Linked DNA regions of Oreochromis niloticus. The protein of the gene in region 1 purifies or fractionates together with the protein of each later gene. This does not show direct contact. Links are inferred from orthologs where the notes say so. Each region holds a gene or a part of one and is shown in the gene's direction. Other genes may lie near its edges. The genes, in order: atxn7l3a, atxn7l2a and taf10.

What was found.
Region 2: the proteins of atxn7l3a (region 1) and atxn7l2a purify together in Homo sapiens (affinity purification with mass spectrometry; 5 studies listed by BioGRID and IntAct, counting the BioPlex papers as one, with this or other methods). This does not show direct contact. The link is inferred for Oreochromis niloticus from reciprocal best matches to the Homo sapiens genes ATXN7L3 and ATXN7L2.
Region 3: the proteins of atxn7l3a (region 1) and taf10 purify together in Homo sapiens (affinity purification with mass spectrometry; 7 studies listed by BioGRID and IntAct, with this or other methods). This does not show direct contact. The link is inferred for Oreochromis niloticus from reciprocal best matches to the Homo sapiens genes ATXN7L3 and TAF10.

What each region holds. Positions count from the first base shown.
Region 1 is NC_031969.2:28,393,575-28,397,326, reverse strand, and holds the start of atxn7l3a (ataxin-7-like protein 3), read left to right. Parts: upstream 1-1,184; 5' UTR 1,185-1,409; coding exon 1,410-1,417; intron 1,418-1,952; exon of another isoform or gene 1,953-1,995; intron 1,996-2,090; exon of another isoform or gene 2,091-2,097; coding exon 2,098-2,197; intron 2,198-2,287; coding exon 2,288-2,420; intron 2,421-2,512; coding exon 2,513-2,684; intron 2,685-2,777; coding exon 2,778-2,875; intron 2,876-2,966; coding exon 2,967-2,989; intron 2,990-3,081; coding exon 3,082-3,127; intron 3,128-3,476; coding exon 3,477-3,514; intron 3,515-3,608; coding exon 3,609-3,677; intron 3,678-3,752. UniProt on the Homo sapiens protein: Component of the transcription regulatory histone acetylation (HAT) complex SAGA, a multiprotein complex that activates transcription by remodeling chromatin and mediating histone acetylation and deubiquitination.
Region 2 is NC_031970.2:39,528,929-39,532,680, reverse strand, and holds the start of atxn7l2a (ataxin-7-like protein 2a), read left to right. Parts: upstream 1-1,041; 5' UTR 1,042-1,130; coding exon 1,131-1,260; intron 1,261-1,418; exon of another isoform or gene 1,419-1,639; intron 1,640-2,138; coding exon 2,139-2,207; intron 2,208-3,752.
Region 3 is NC_031984.2:24,230,012-24,233,763, reverse strand, and holds the start of taf10 (transcription initiation factor TFIID subunit 10), read left to right. Parts: upstream 1-980; 5' UTR 981-1,235; coding exon 1,236-1,368; intron 1,369-2,795; coding exon 2,796-2,953; intron 2,954-3,101; coding exon 3,102-3,166; intron 3,167-3,752. Other genes in the region: uncharacterized protein zgc:154075, read right to left, coding at 1-84, 394-407. UniProt on the Homo sapiens protein: The TFIID basal transcription factor complex plays a major role in the initiation of RNA polymerase II (Pol II)-dependent transcription.

The sequences.
Region 1 (3,752 bases):
TTAGGCTTGACGAAGCTAATGGCTCAGTCGCATAAGTAAAATAGGACATTACAAGAAAAACGTGTGGCTACCTTTTGATTGTATTGAATTTTTCCATATTGGCAAAAAAATGGCAAAAATATTGGATGTTGAGTGAAGTATTGTGATAATATCATATCATGGGGTGTCTGATGATTCCCAAATGTAGTTCTGCTACATATGACTAAACTGAAGTATTACTCAAACCTTGATGTAATGTTGTAAAGCAGAATCCCCAACAGGACCTCATCATGTCAGATGTTGCTCTGGTGGTGTACATCAAGTTCTACCGAAATGGAAAAATGGCCTCCAGTGAATCCCTGACTTTAACCAAATCCAACACATAAAAGATAAACTGGAGGGCCAACTCTTCACCCAGCATAGCTGGGATGGAGAAAATCCAAAATCTTGTGGGTTTTAAAAGTAGCTGGAGCTAGTCGTCCAGTAATCCTATGCTGGTGTAATGTTAAGGTGTCCACATACTTTCGGTCATTTAGCATAGTTGAAGTGATGACCTCATTCAGCCCGCCCAGGCTCTACAAACAGATTGTAGATAAAGAGCGAAAATCTAGCGTTCATTTATGGATGTCTGAACTGAAAGAAACCTCGCTGTGAAAGCGGAAACATCCGAACTGTACCTTCAAAGTAAAAGTATAAACGTATTTATAAACTTAAATACCTCACAGTTCAAATTGGGCTGTTTGTGCCCTGTGATGTTAAATGAGTTCGACAGCTTATAAAATAAATATGAAAATTCATTCTGGCAAGTAGCTAACTGTTAAAGATATGTGGCTAAATAAAAATGTTAACAATTGTTTTTAAAATGTTGTTCTTCTTTCAGTTAGAGAGTAAAAGATTAGATTAAAAAAAAATTAAGATACATTTTCTTCATCTTGCTTGTTAATATAAAAATGCACATTAATATAGCAAAAAGTGACGGAAAAATTAAATGAGTAATGATGTGTATTGGTATTTTTGAATGTAGCAACATTACTTTTAATTTTATTTATTTTACAAGCATTTGAATGATTAAATTAGCTTCTTCTCCATCCTTTTTCCGATTTCAATATGGACTGTATTCTCTTTTTTCTTTTTTCCTTTTTGTCGAGTTCCAGCAACTCGCTTCACATTTGCAGGTTAAGCTTTTATTTTTATTGCTACAACCGGAAGTTGGCTGGTTTATATGCTTTGTCGGCCTCCTCGCTCGTACCGTCAGTTTTGCTAACCGACACCTGCGACAGCAAACACTTTTATCGAGCTTTTTGTTTTACCCGTGTTATTAGAATGGCTGTAGCTGAAGACCGGGCCTCCTGCTAATGCGTTTTATGTGGAGTGACTCGGTCATGTTGCCTCCTTCAGAGAAACTGCCCGGTTCAGGCTGAGTTTTCGGCATGACAGGGTAAGAGGAAACAGTTTGAAATTAAAACACACCTAACGTCGCTACACTGTTTCTTAGTATTTGAATGCCACAAAGGCCTTTCCTTCAGCTCAGATTAGTAGAGCAGTGGGGCCAGCAGATATAAACCATGAAAGGTGATATTAGCCGGAGTTAATTTGCTAAGGAACTGTCACTACCTGCGTTTAGGTTCTACTAACGTTAGCTAGTCGTTCGTGAGGTAGTTTAAATGAACATTTTTTGTAAAATGTAGCTATTTTTGAGCTTTCGTGTTGGATACATAGGTATCTTGTTTATCTCAATCAACCACATGTAATGTTAAAGCTGGTTAGAGTGCATGGTTAAAACCACATTCCTTTGTGTGTGTGATGTCCAGTAATTTGAAAATCAGGATGTTGTTGTAGCTGATATGTGCTGATATGTTCAGTTCAGGCTTGGTGTTACAGTGGTCAGATTGTACCACTAATTATCATATGTTTACATGAACCTTCTGTGGTGATCTTGCACATGACGAGCGATTATTTCTTCTTTTCAACAGGATGAAGATAGACCTGGAACAAGTTCTAATACATATTTTTAAAGTATGTTATTTGCGACTGGTATCTTGAATCTGTGTGCCTTACATCTGTTGCCTTTCAAGCATGCTGTGATTTCACTTCCATCCTATCTCTTTAAGTCCTCAGATATCAATCTTATTACCTTGCTGTCAAGACTTCCAATAGAGATTTTCAAATGAAAATGGAGGATATGCCCCTCTCAGGCCCAGACAACACCAGGCTGGAGGTGAGGTATTACCTGTGCATACAGGTAACCCATGCATTTACATAACATTGGGTTTGTTTTTGGTGTTACACTATGTTTTTGTTGTTGTAGGCCCTGGCCCATGACATCTACTCTGAGCTGGTGGAAGATGCCTGTTTGGGCCTGTGTTTTGAGGTGCATCGTGCGGTGAAACAGGGCTATTTCTTCTTGGATGAAACGGACCAAGAGAGCATGAAGGAGTTTGGTTGGTGCTGTTGCATCTGGTTTCTATTCTGTCTGTCTTCAATGTGTTTGCTTACTGTTTTTTTTGTTTGTTTGTTTGTTTTTTCCTTCCAGAAATTGTGGATCAACCAGGAGTGGACATATTTGGGCAGGTGTACAATCAGTGGAAGAACAAAGAGTGTGAGTGTCCCAACTGTAAAAGATTAATAGCAGCTTCTCGCTTTGCTCCGCATTTGGAGAAATGCCTCGGCATGGGACGCAACAGCAGCCGCATCGCCAACCGCAGGTCGGTCAGTGAAGGTCGTAAAGCAAAAATTCCTGCAGTGATCCGAAGTTATACATGAAATTCTAATTCAATTGTTTGATCTTCTTTAAACAGGCTAGCCAGCAGTAATAATATGAGCAAATCAGAAAGTGATCAAGAAGACAATGATGACCTTAATGATAATGACTGGTCGTACGGGGCTGAAAAAAAAAGTGAGCACTTGAGTGATTGCATTGTACTGAGAGATGAAAGAAATCTCCAGGTGGTTACTTAAAATAAACATTTCTTATTTCCTTTTTACAGCCAAGAAGAGAAAGTCAGATAAGGTTTTTTTTTTTAAATTGCACATTGTTAGTATAAATGAATTTTTCATGCGTATTATAAGGTTATTTTAATCTTAACATTTTTGTTTGTGCAGAGTCAAAATTCCCCAAGAAGATCCAAATCCCTGAAACATAAAAACGGTGAGTCTATCGGGTTGTTGTTGTTTTTTTTGTTGTTTTTAAGTGTAGTGAAGAGGTTTTGATGAATGTGGGTTACCGATTCAAAACATTTCTTAGGCTTGAACTTGAGCAGTCTCAGAGCTCAGCTACTGTTGCAGATCACGCTGTGAAGACACAGCGTGTATACATCTGCTAATCTCACTTTTTAAGCTAGTTTCCAAGTTCATAGCTCAAAGTGGAGGGAACAATTCAAAGTGAAATGCGAATATTTTTCTTTTTGATGCAGATGGATTTTATAGTTTAACTTTGATGTGCTTTTAGCAGTCTCAATGTATTACATGAACAGTGTGTTTGTGCGTATGCATTCCAGGTGAGATTGGAAGTGGCGTCGGTGCTGAATCTTACAAGGTGACAAATCCTCCTGTGATCAAATTGATTGCTAGCCTATAAAGTATAGTAAATTCTTTACTCATAAAGGTTTATGTTTTGTCTTTAAATTCAGTACAACTATAATACTGGCATCAGTTATGAAACGTTGGGCCCCGATGAAGTCAGATCCCTTCTAACGACGGTGAGCAATTTTCATGAATCTGCCCAAGCATGTAATTTTTTATTGTTCCAACTACTGATTTAATTATATAAGTGT
Region 2 (3,752 bases), on another chromosome or scaffold:
GGTGCTGTTCAGCAGGGTGCAAGTAGAAATGTGCTACTCTTAGATGAAGACAAAAGAAGAGGCAACAAGAGAGAAGGAAAGGCAGGCGTGTGGCAGTGAGGGACTGTTACAGGGAGAGAGCTGGCTGATGTGGTAAGAGACAGAAGAGAGCAAGCAAAGTTCAAACTGTTCTATCATGGTGTGGATGGGAAGTGAAATGGAGTAGGAGAAATCTTGAAGGAAGAGTATCTAAAATAGTCTGGTGAAGGTAAGTGTCAGACAGGATCATGACTGTGGAGCTGGAAATCAAAGGAGTGATGTTGAATGTCAGTGTGCATCCCCCAACAAGCAGGTGGAGGAAGCTCAGAGGATTAGTAACGAGGAAGTGAGGGCAGCTACGCTGTGCTAGTTCTGAAAGCTAATTCTTTTAGTTTGAGTTGACTAAATGTCTCAGTGTAAAGTTGATTCAGGCTGTGGTGTTTACTGGTGACTCGCCTCACATGGTTTCAAATGTGACATGTGTCCATATGTGCACGGGAGCGTCTCTGCACAACAAGATCATCTCTACAACATTTTCATCCCGTTTTTAATCACAGACTAAAGTGCCAATACTTGATCAATTCTTCGTCAGGAAAAGGGTGGTTAATGAAAACTACGGCGAAATGATTTGTCAATGAAAGTAACAGCAGCTGTGAACAGAATGAAGAGTGGAAAAGCAGCTGTTCCAGATAACATACCTGTGCAGGTATGGAACTGTAGGACTCTTTAACCAGGCTGTTTGGTACATTATAGAGGAGTACTACTGCGAGGCTGATATGCAGAGGGGTAAAGTGGGTGGGCCGCACCATAAAGATGGCCTCTGTCCCTTAACTGGGTCGTGGACCACCAATTGATTATGTGCCTCACCACGCCGCAGGTGGCAGCGGATCGTGTGAAAACTGTGATGTTTTTTACGTGTTTTCAATGCGCATTCAACCATGTACACGCGCGTGCTGTGTTTATAACATTCTGTCATTTCCACCGTATAAAACTGGGAGAGACTAGAGCCAAGCCTTCTGCCTCTGTTTGTGTGGGTGTCCCCAGCACGCGCACGCAGGAAGTTCCTTTCCTGTCGAGAACGCGAAATGACGTAAGTTGCTTGCCGCGCAGTGATGATGGCGGTTCGTGAACGCGCAGTAAAAGTAATGGCTGCTCTGGATCGGCGGGTTCCTAGCCTCGATGATTTCGTGGGTCAAAGCTGGACTGCCTGGGCCGATTGGGCCGGCATGACGCCGGCGGATGGTAAGGAAACACCCTGGCACAAACACTGATCGGTACGGAGCCATTTAACGGAAGCAGCGGTGTTTATTTTCGCGGAAACGCAGGACAGAGCTAAACATGTTACCCAAACAAAGACCCTGCCGGGTCCTAGTGCTGGGTGGGTAACATGTTGGTCTTCACCAGGTTACAAAAATTATAATAGTTAAGACACGGTCATTGTAGCGTGATTTTCACCTGTGTGGTCATAAAACAATCTGCAGCGTTTAGGGGAGACCATTCGTGTGGAGAAACCCGGCAGGGCTGGCTGACATCAGAGCGGAAGGAGGCTAGTGTGGATGGCTGGCCGTGGAAAGCGAGGATACAAGCTACCATGCGAGCCCGACTAGCCGGTGGCGACGAGGTAGTTAGCATTAGCATGCTAACGCTAGCAGCAGCCGGATTCAGAGCAGACGCCGGTGACGGAGGAGGAGTCTGACGCTTTTGCACCGCTGGCCCAGCCTGTGATAGAAGGAAACATTTTGTGTGTCGTTTCCACTTCGCTTCCTTCGTTTTCTAAACAATGATGGACTCGCCTTACGATTCCTCATATATGTGGCTTCTGCCCACAGTGTTCTTGCTAGCTTTACCTCTGTGCGCTCACTCACTGTTTGGCGTTTCTCCAGTGCTGCTCTGTCAGATAGTCTCCCCCACCACCCAGTGCCATTAGCTGCTCCCTGCTGATGGTATACTTGGACTCCGAGTAATTCCTGGAGAAACGGTTGATCTGTAAATGAGTCACTTACATAACACAGCTTATTAATATGGGCTATGTGTGATGTAAGATGAGTCTTTGTATTGCTAATGATGATACTGTGGCCAACATCACAGCTGACAGTGGCTGTCTTGAACATGTGTTTCAGGGCCTGACGTGGATGACTGCAATAAGAATGGCAAAAAGGCTGCAGAGGCAATGTCACTCAGTAAAGAGGGTAAGTGTGCACCACCGCTGACAATAAGCAGCCGGCTGTGCAGGTTAGAAACATGAGAACACATGCCTCATACTTATAGATTCAGCTTTTCTGACAAACACACGTCTGCTTCGTGGAGACCTTTGCAAATACACATGCTGAATGCTATTCTGTGTGTATGAGAACATGACACCATAACTCAGGAAGTTTGCAGCACTCCACTCACAAGGCCATAAGAGCCAAACAAGGGTGATCTGAAGTCCCCACTGTTCTTAGTTTGAATCTGCTATGGAGGTTTGGTTAAAAAAAAAAAAAAGTAGGTTATTGATTCATGTAAGGTTATTATTTTCCAACTACTTTGGCCAGACTCAGAATGTTTTGTCAAGCCAAAAGTTTAGCAATGAAGAGTCTTCATGGAGCTCACACTGAGTTTGAGATCGCTTATCGTGATGTAACAACTTTTACTGGCTTAAATTTCTATTTCTCTTTTGTAGTTATATTAACAGCTTACAACACTACACAAGCCATATGCTTTGTAATGCTGTGCATTGTAACACGAGTCTGTGACGACGGTGTTTTGGAGCGTGAGTGTTTGCCACATGCACGCCAGCTTCATCGTTCTAAATGAAGCTTTGCAGTGTTTCCATCGAGGCCAGCCTGACCGGGCTGTGAGCGTGGTTCCAGCTAGCACCAAGCTCCTGCTCATGGTGCACATCGGAGGAACCTCACCAGTTTATGCCATCATTTACAATCCCATTTTTATGTCAATGAATTTCTCATGAAGGTTTTTGTTGGATATGTTTTTGTTTGTAACAAAGTGCACACTGAGGTTGGGCGACTGGACGATTTTACCGACGACAGGCTGAGCCTTTCATCGACACTCCTCCATCATTGTCTAATTGCTTTGATCGAGGGCTGCGCCCCGATAGCGTTAGCTTCTATAAAATGCCCACGTCCAGTCTGGTGAACTTGAAAACGTTTGTTTGGCAAACTTTTACTGACAGTTATTAGCTTCCACATACCGACATGTTGGCGTGTGGCTGCGTGTGAATATGTGTTTGTGCTGCGGATGCATGAAAACAGCCAGCTTGTTATTAAGACCACCATGAGGCTGACTGGCCGGCCGCTGGTCAGGGCAGCGGATGCATTCTGGTCACCAGTCGGGTGAATTTAGATGAGCCTGGCTGAGGACTGTCATGTGATCATCCTGTATACCTGTACTTGCTCCTGGGGTGGGATATTGACTTGCACATACATACATACTGTTTGACCCAGAAAGAAGAAAAACAGCATTTTGAACTCTGGGGAGTTTATTTGTGACAAGCAGCAGGGGAAGAAGTGGATGGCTATCAGCCGCTAAAAGGTCTTTACTGACTTATAATTCTGCTAATACGTTCATGCCGTTTTTATCTAAGACTTTCTCGTTTGGCTTCCACTCATAATGCCTTCAGTCACTGACAAACACAAGCTGGAAAAGAGGAGATGGGGATGTGTTCACGAGCTCTGATGTCACATCATTTCAATAAACACAAACGCACTCGGCCTTTTTTTGGAGATGATGTGGGA
Region 3 (3,752 bases), on another chromosome or scaffold:
GCATACTGGGAGTAGATTTCACCCCGACATCCTCCTCCCACCACGATCACAAGGACAGGAGCAGTCATTTTGCCAGCCTGTGAACTTTGACACAAATTAAAGCTTGTAGTTACAATGCCACAAAACCCAAGAGAATAAATAATCGTGAGATTACAGGTTGAGCAGTCCTGAGCAGTCCTCCACAGATGCATTATACTTCCCTTAATACGTCGATATGTAAACACGTTAAACTCACAGAGATAGGCACAAAATTGTCAATCATTTAAAAGTGGACTAAACTAACAATTCAAGCCCTGAGTGATTACTGAACAGGGAATAAGAGGAAGCTTGTGAAAGTCGTTAATCGGCGTTTGTGGTGAATTGTACTTGTACGTTTATAAAGCCTGACAGTACCTGTTTTGTCCCATACAACTGTCACAAACGTCCGTCTCCCGCTTTGGTCAGATGAATACAGGACTACAATTTGTCCAGAGCCCAGCAGACAGTCCACTCTAGTGAAAGACTGACTCACTTCTTCGAACCAGAATATCAACCGAGAAAATGTCCGACAATCCCTTAACGCCCCCTGCAGTGTGCACGAGATCGCTCTGCTGCATTCAGTGCACCTCGTAAACTGCCACTTCTCACAAGAGAAGCGGTGAATCTCTGTTTATAAAGCTATGGTGTGTACAATCTAACCGCTAGATCTCAATAGATCGCACTTTGCAAACAAACAACAAAACATCTATGGCTGCTGTTCATCTTTATTGACTTTAGGTTGTCATTTTGCTGTTTATCGCTGCTGTCATTATGTGTTGACGTCTATTTACTCTTGGCAAGGCTGTAAAAACTTCTGAAAAGAGTCCAATGCAGGTCAGTGAGTTAGTGAAATTCAAATCTGAATTAAATTCTTTAAATATAAAGAAAGTGTATTAATGTATTGCCTACAGTCTCCGCTACGGCAGGGGGCGTAGGCGGCGGTGTGCAGTCAACATAGAAGAAGAGAACGCCTCTATGTCACATGACGTGATCTAACAGTAGTGGCTCAGCGTTTTACTGCAAAGGTCTTAGAAACACTTCTGCTACGAGTTATAGTTTTTCAGTTTTGATAATTAATTTCTTTGAATGAAAGGGTAGACTTATACTAAAACAGTATTTTGTAGAATACTTGTCTTACAGCTATAAATCGCGGATTTGTGGTGTTTTGCATATTTCGGTGCTAGTTAACCACGGTTAGCTCGTTAGCTAACGCCAGCATGAATATGGACAACGTAAATCAGTCTGTAACAACAGGAGTGCCTTCTACCACATCGTCAACGGCAAGTAATTGCATTGCCAACGATAATACGACAACCAACGTGAGCAGCATCCCGTCGGTCACGAGTAATGGTAACGTAACGTGACTTTGTTATTGTCTTTGTTATTATTCTGAGAGCATTTGCTGATTTCATCTCGCACTGGAAGTCGAAACTTTCCACGATGTACATTGACTATTGACAACAATACCAAGCCTGACTGAGAGAAACGCGTACTAACCTAAACACCATCAGCGAAACCTACCTTAATGCATCAAAGTGTAATGCATTAAGGTAGGTTTTAGACGGCAATCTAACACTTTAAAGTGTTAGATTGCCGTCTAACACTTTAAAGTGATTTAAACATATTAATTACAAAACCTACCAAGTACCACGTTTCAGGTTAAGCCTGTAGCACTAACTTAACCATTGTAGCAATTTTTTAGATTGTTTGTACAGTACTTTGCAAAAGTCTCAAGCCATCCCTGATTTCTTTATATTTTGCAAGGGAAAATTGGAAATGGGTGCAGTGCATTGAAAAATGTTGGTATATAAGGCAAAAACAGAGTTTGTGCAATTCTAACAAGCTTGAAAATAAAGTGAATATTTGATATGACCACCTTTATTATTTAAAAGGCCTTGAATCCTCTCAGGCAAGCTTTCTTGTAGGTTCTTTAAGTAGTCACAGAAAGTTGATTCTATTTATCTGACTGTTGAGGTATGTTGTGTCACTCATGCAAGTGACCTCTTCAGTTTCAGCTGACTGTGGGGTCCCGCAACTGATTAACTGTTAGGTCAGTTTCCTGATTACTAATATACAAATTGTCATGATCATTGATTAATGGCCATGAGTACTGTTTAGAGAGAGTTGGGGAATTAGTGATGGTGGAAGATGTTCCCTTAGGCCCCATCCTTAAAATGGATTTAATTTTCATGTAAAAATTGGAGACTACTTCTCTAAGTACTCTTTAGCAATAGTTCTCCAGGCTTCTTGAATTACATCTAAAGCTTCTTTGGATGTTGGCTGCCTTTTGCTCTGTTGTCTGTGAAGATGGTCCAAGACTGTTTCAGTAAAGTTGAAGTCTGGTCTTTGGGATCCTGATCCATGACTGATAGTGCTTAATTGTATATTTTTTCTTTCCAGGTTTTTTTTTTTTTTTTTTTTTTTTAAATGCATTAGCAGTGTGTTTGGCATCATTGTCATGCTGAAAAATGAAACTGTTTCCAGATGGTATTTTGTGGTGGATATCAAAATCTAACCCTATTCAAGTGTGTTTATAATTTCATCAACTTTACCAAAATCCTCAACACCACTGGCCAAATAACCAAGCAGCAAAAGCCACAACTTATCCTTTAGGTGCGGATGCACAGCTACACTCTTTTGATGATACCAATGTTCACATTTTGGACTGACAAGACAGATGGCATTAATTATTTTCTTTTTTCCATGCATAGAATTCGTCTGATCTCCCTCGCATCTCAGAAGTTTATCTCAGACATTGCTTGATGTGTCTTTTATAGCTTCATCCTCATCAGCTGTGGTGACACCGTCTGCAGACACATCTGTTTCCAATGGAGTCTATGTTCCTGGTGGCATCACTAATGGAGATGTGAAGCCTGCTGTTTCCACCACGCCACTGGCTGATTTCCTCATGCAGCTGGAAGAGTACACTCCCACGGTAAGTCAGTTAGCCCCGCTACATCATACTTTCACACATTTTTGACAGAAATGTTTCTTAATCAGTCCTTGATTGGTACATGTGCACTAATAATATTAGTGACATATACATTAGTAGTTATTCTTTGTTTTTGTTTTTTTCCCACCAGATTCCTGATGCAGTCACAGGTTACTACCTCAACCGGGCTGGTTTTGAGGCTTCTGATCCAAGGATGTGAGTACATGCAGTGTAGTATTCAGATCTTTTGGCATCTGCAGGGATGCATGGATCTAAGTGATAAAAAAAATGTCATCAGAGGCAAATGTGAGGGTGAGATGCACTCGATTCTGCTCTAATGTCAGTGTAATGTAATGTCTAATGTAATGTCAGTAAAAAACCTCCACCTGTGCATGTGTCCTTTAGGTAGACTGAGAAATTGTATACTAGGAACAGCTTTGTATCTGTCAGTGTGCACACATGGAGGAGTACATTACAGCACAAATCATAAGGCTGCTCATAGTTGGTACGTTCAGAGGTTTGATTGATAGCCACCAATTTACTTAACAGCTGACTTAAAAGCCTTTATATAATATGAGTTCACCAATAAAAACCTTAGTTCAAGGCACTGAATGAGTCAGAAATTAATGTAATCTGGCAATGGGAACATGTTGAAGTCACAAATAAATGACTATATTGTCATAATTTAAAGAATTTCCCAATGGTATACAGCATTTCTTATCTTAATGCTGTATTAGTTAGGTTGCACCGTGCTTTCTGATGTTACAGGGAGTGTTGGCTGATTTAGATTTGCTTAAAACAA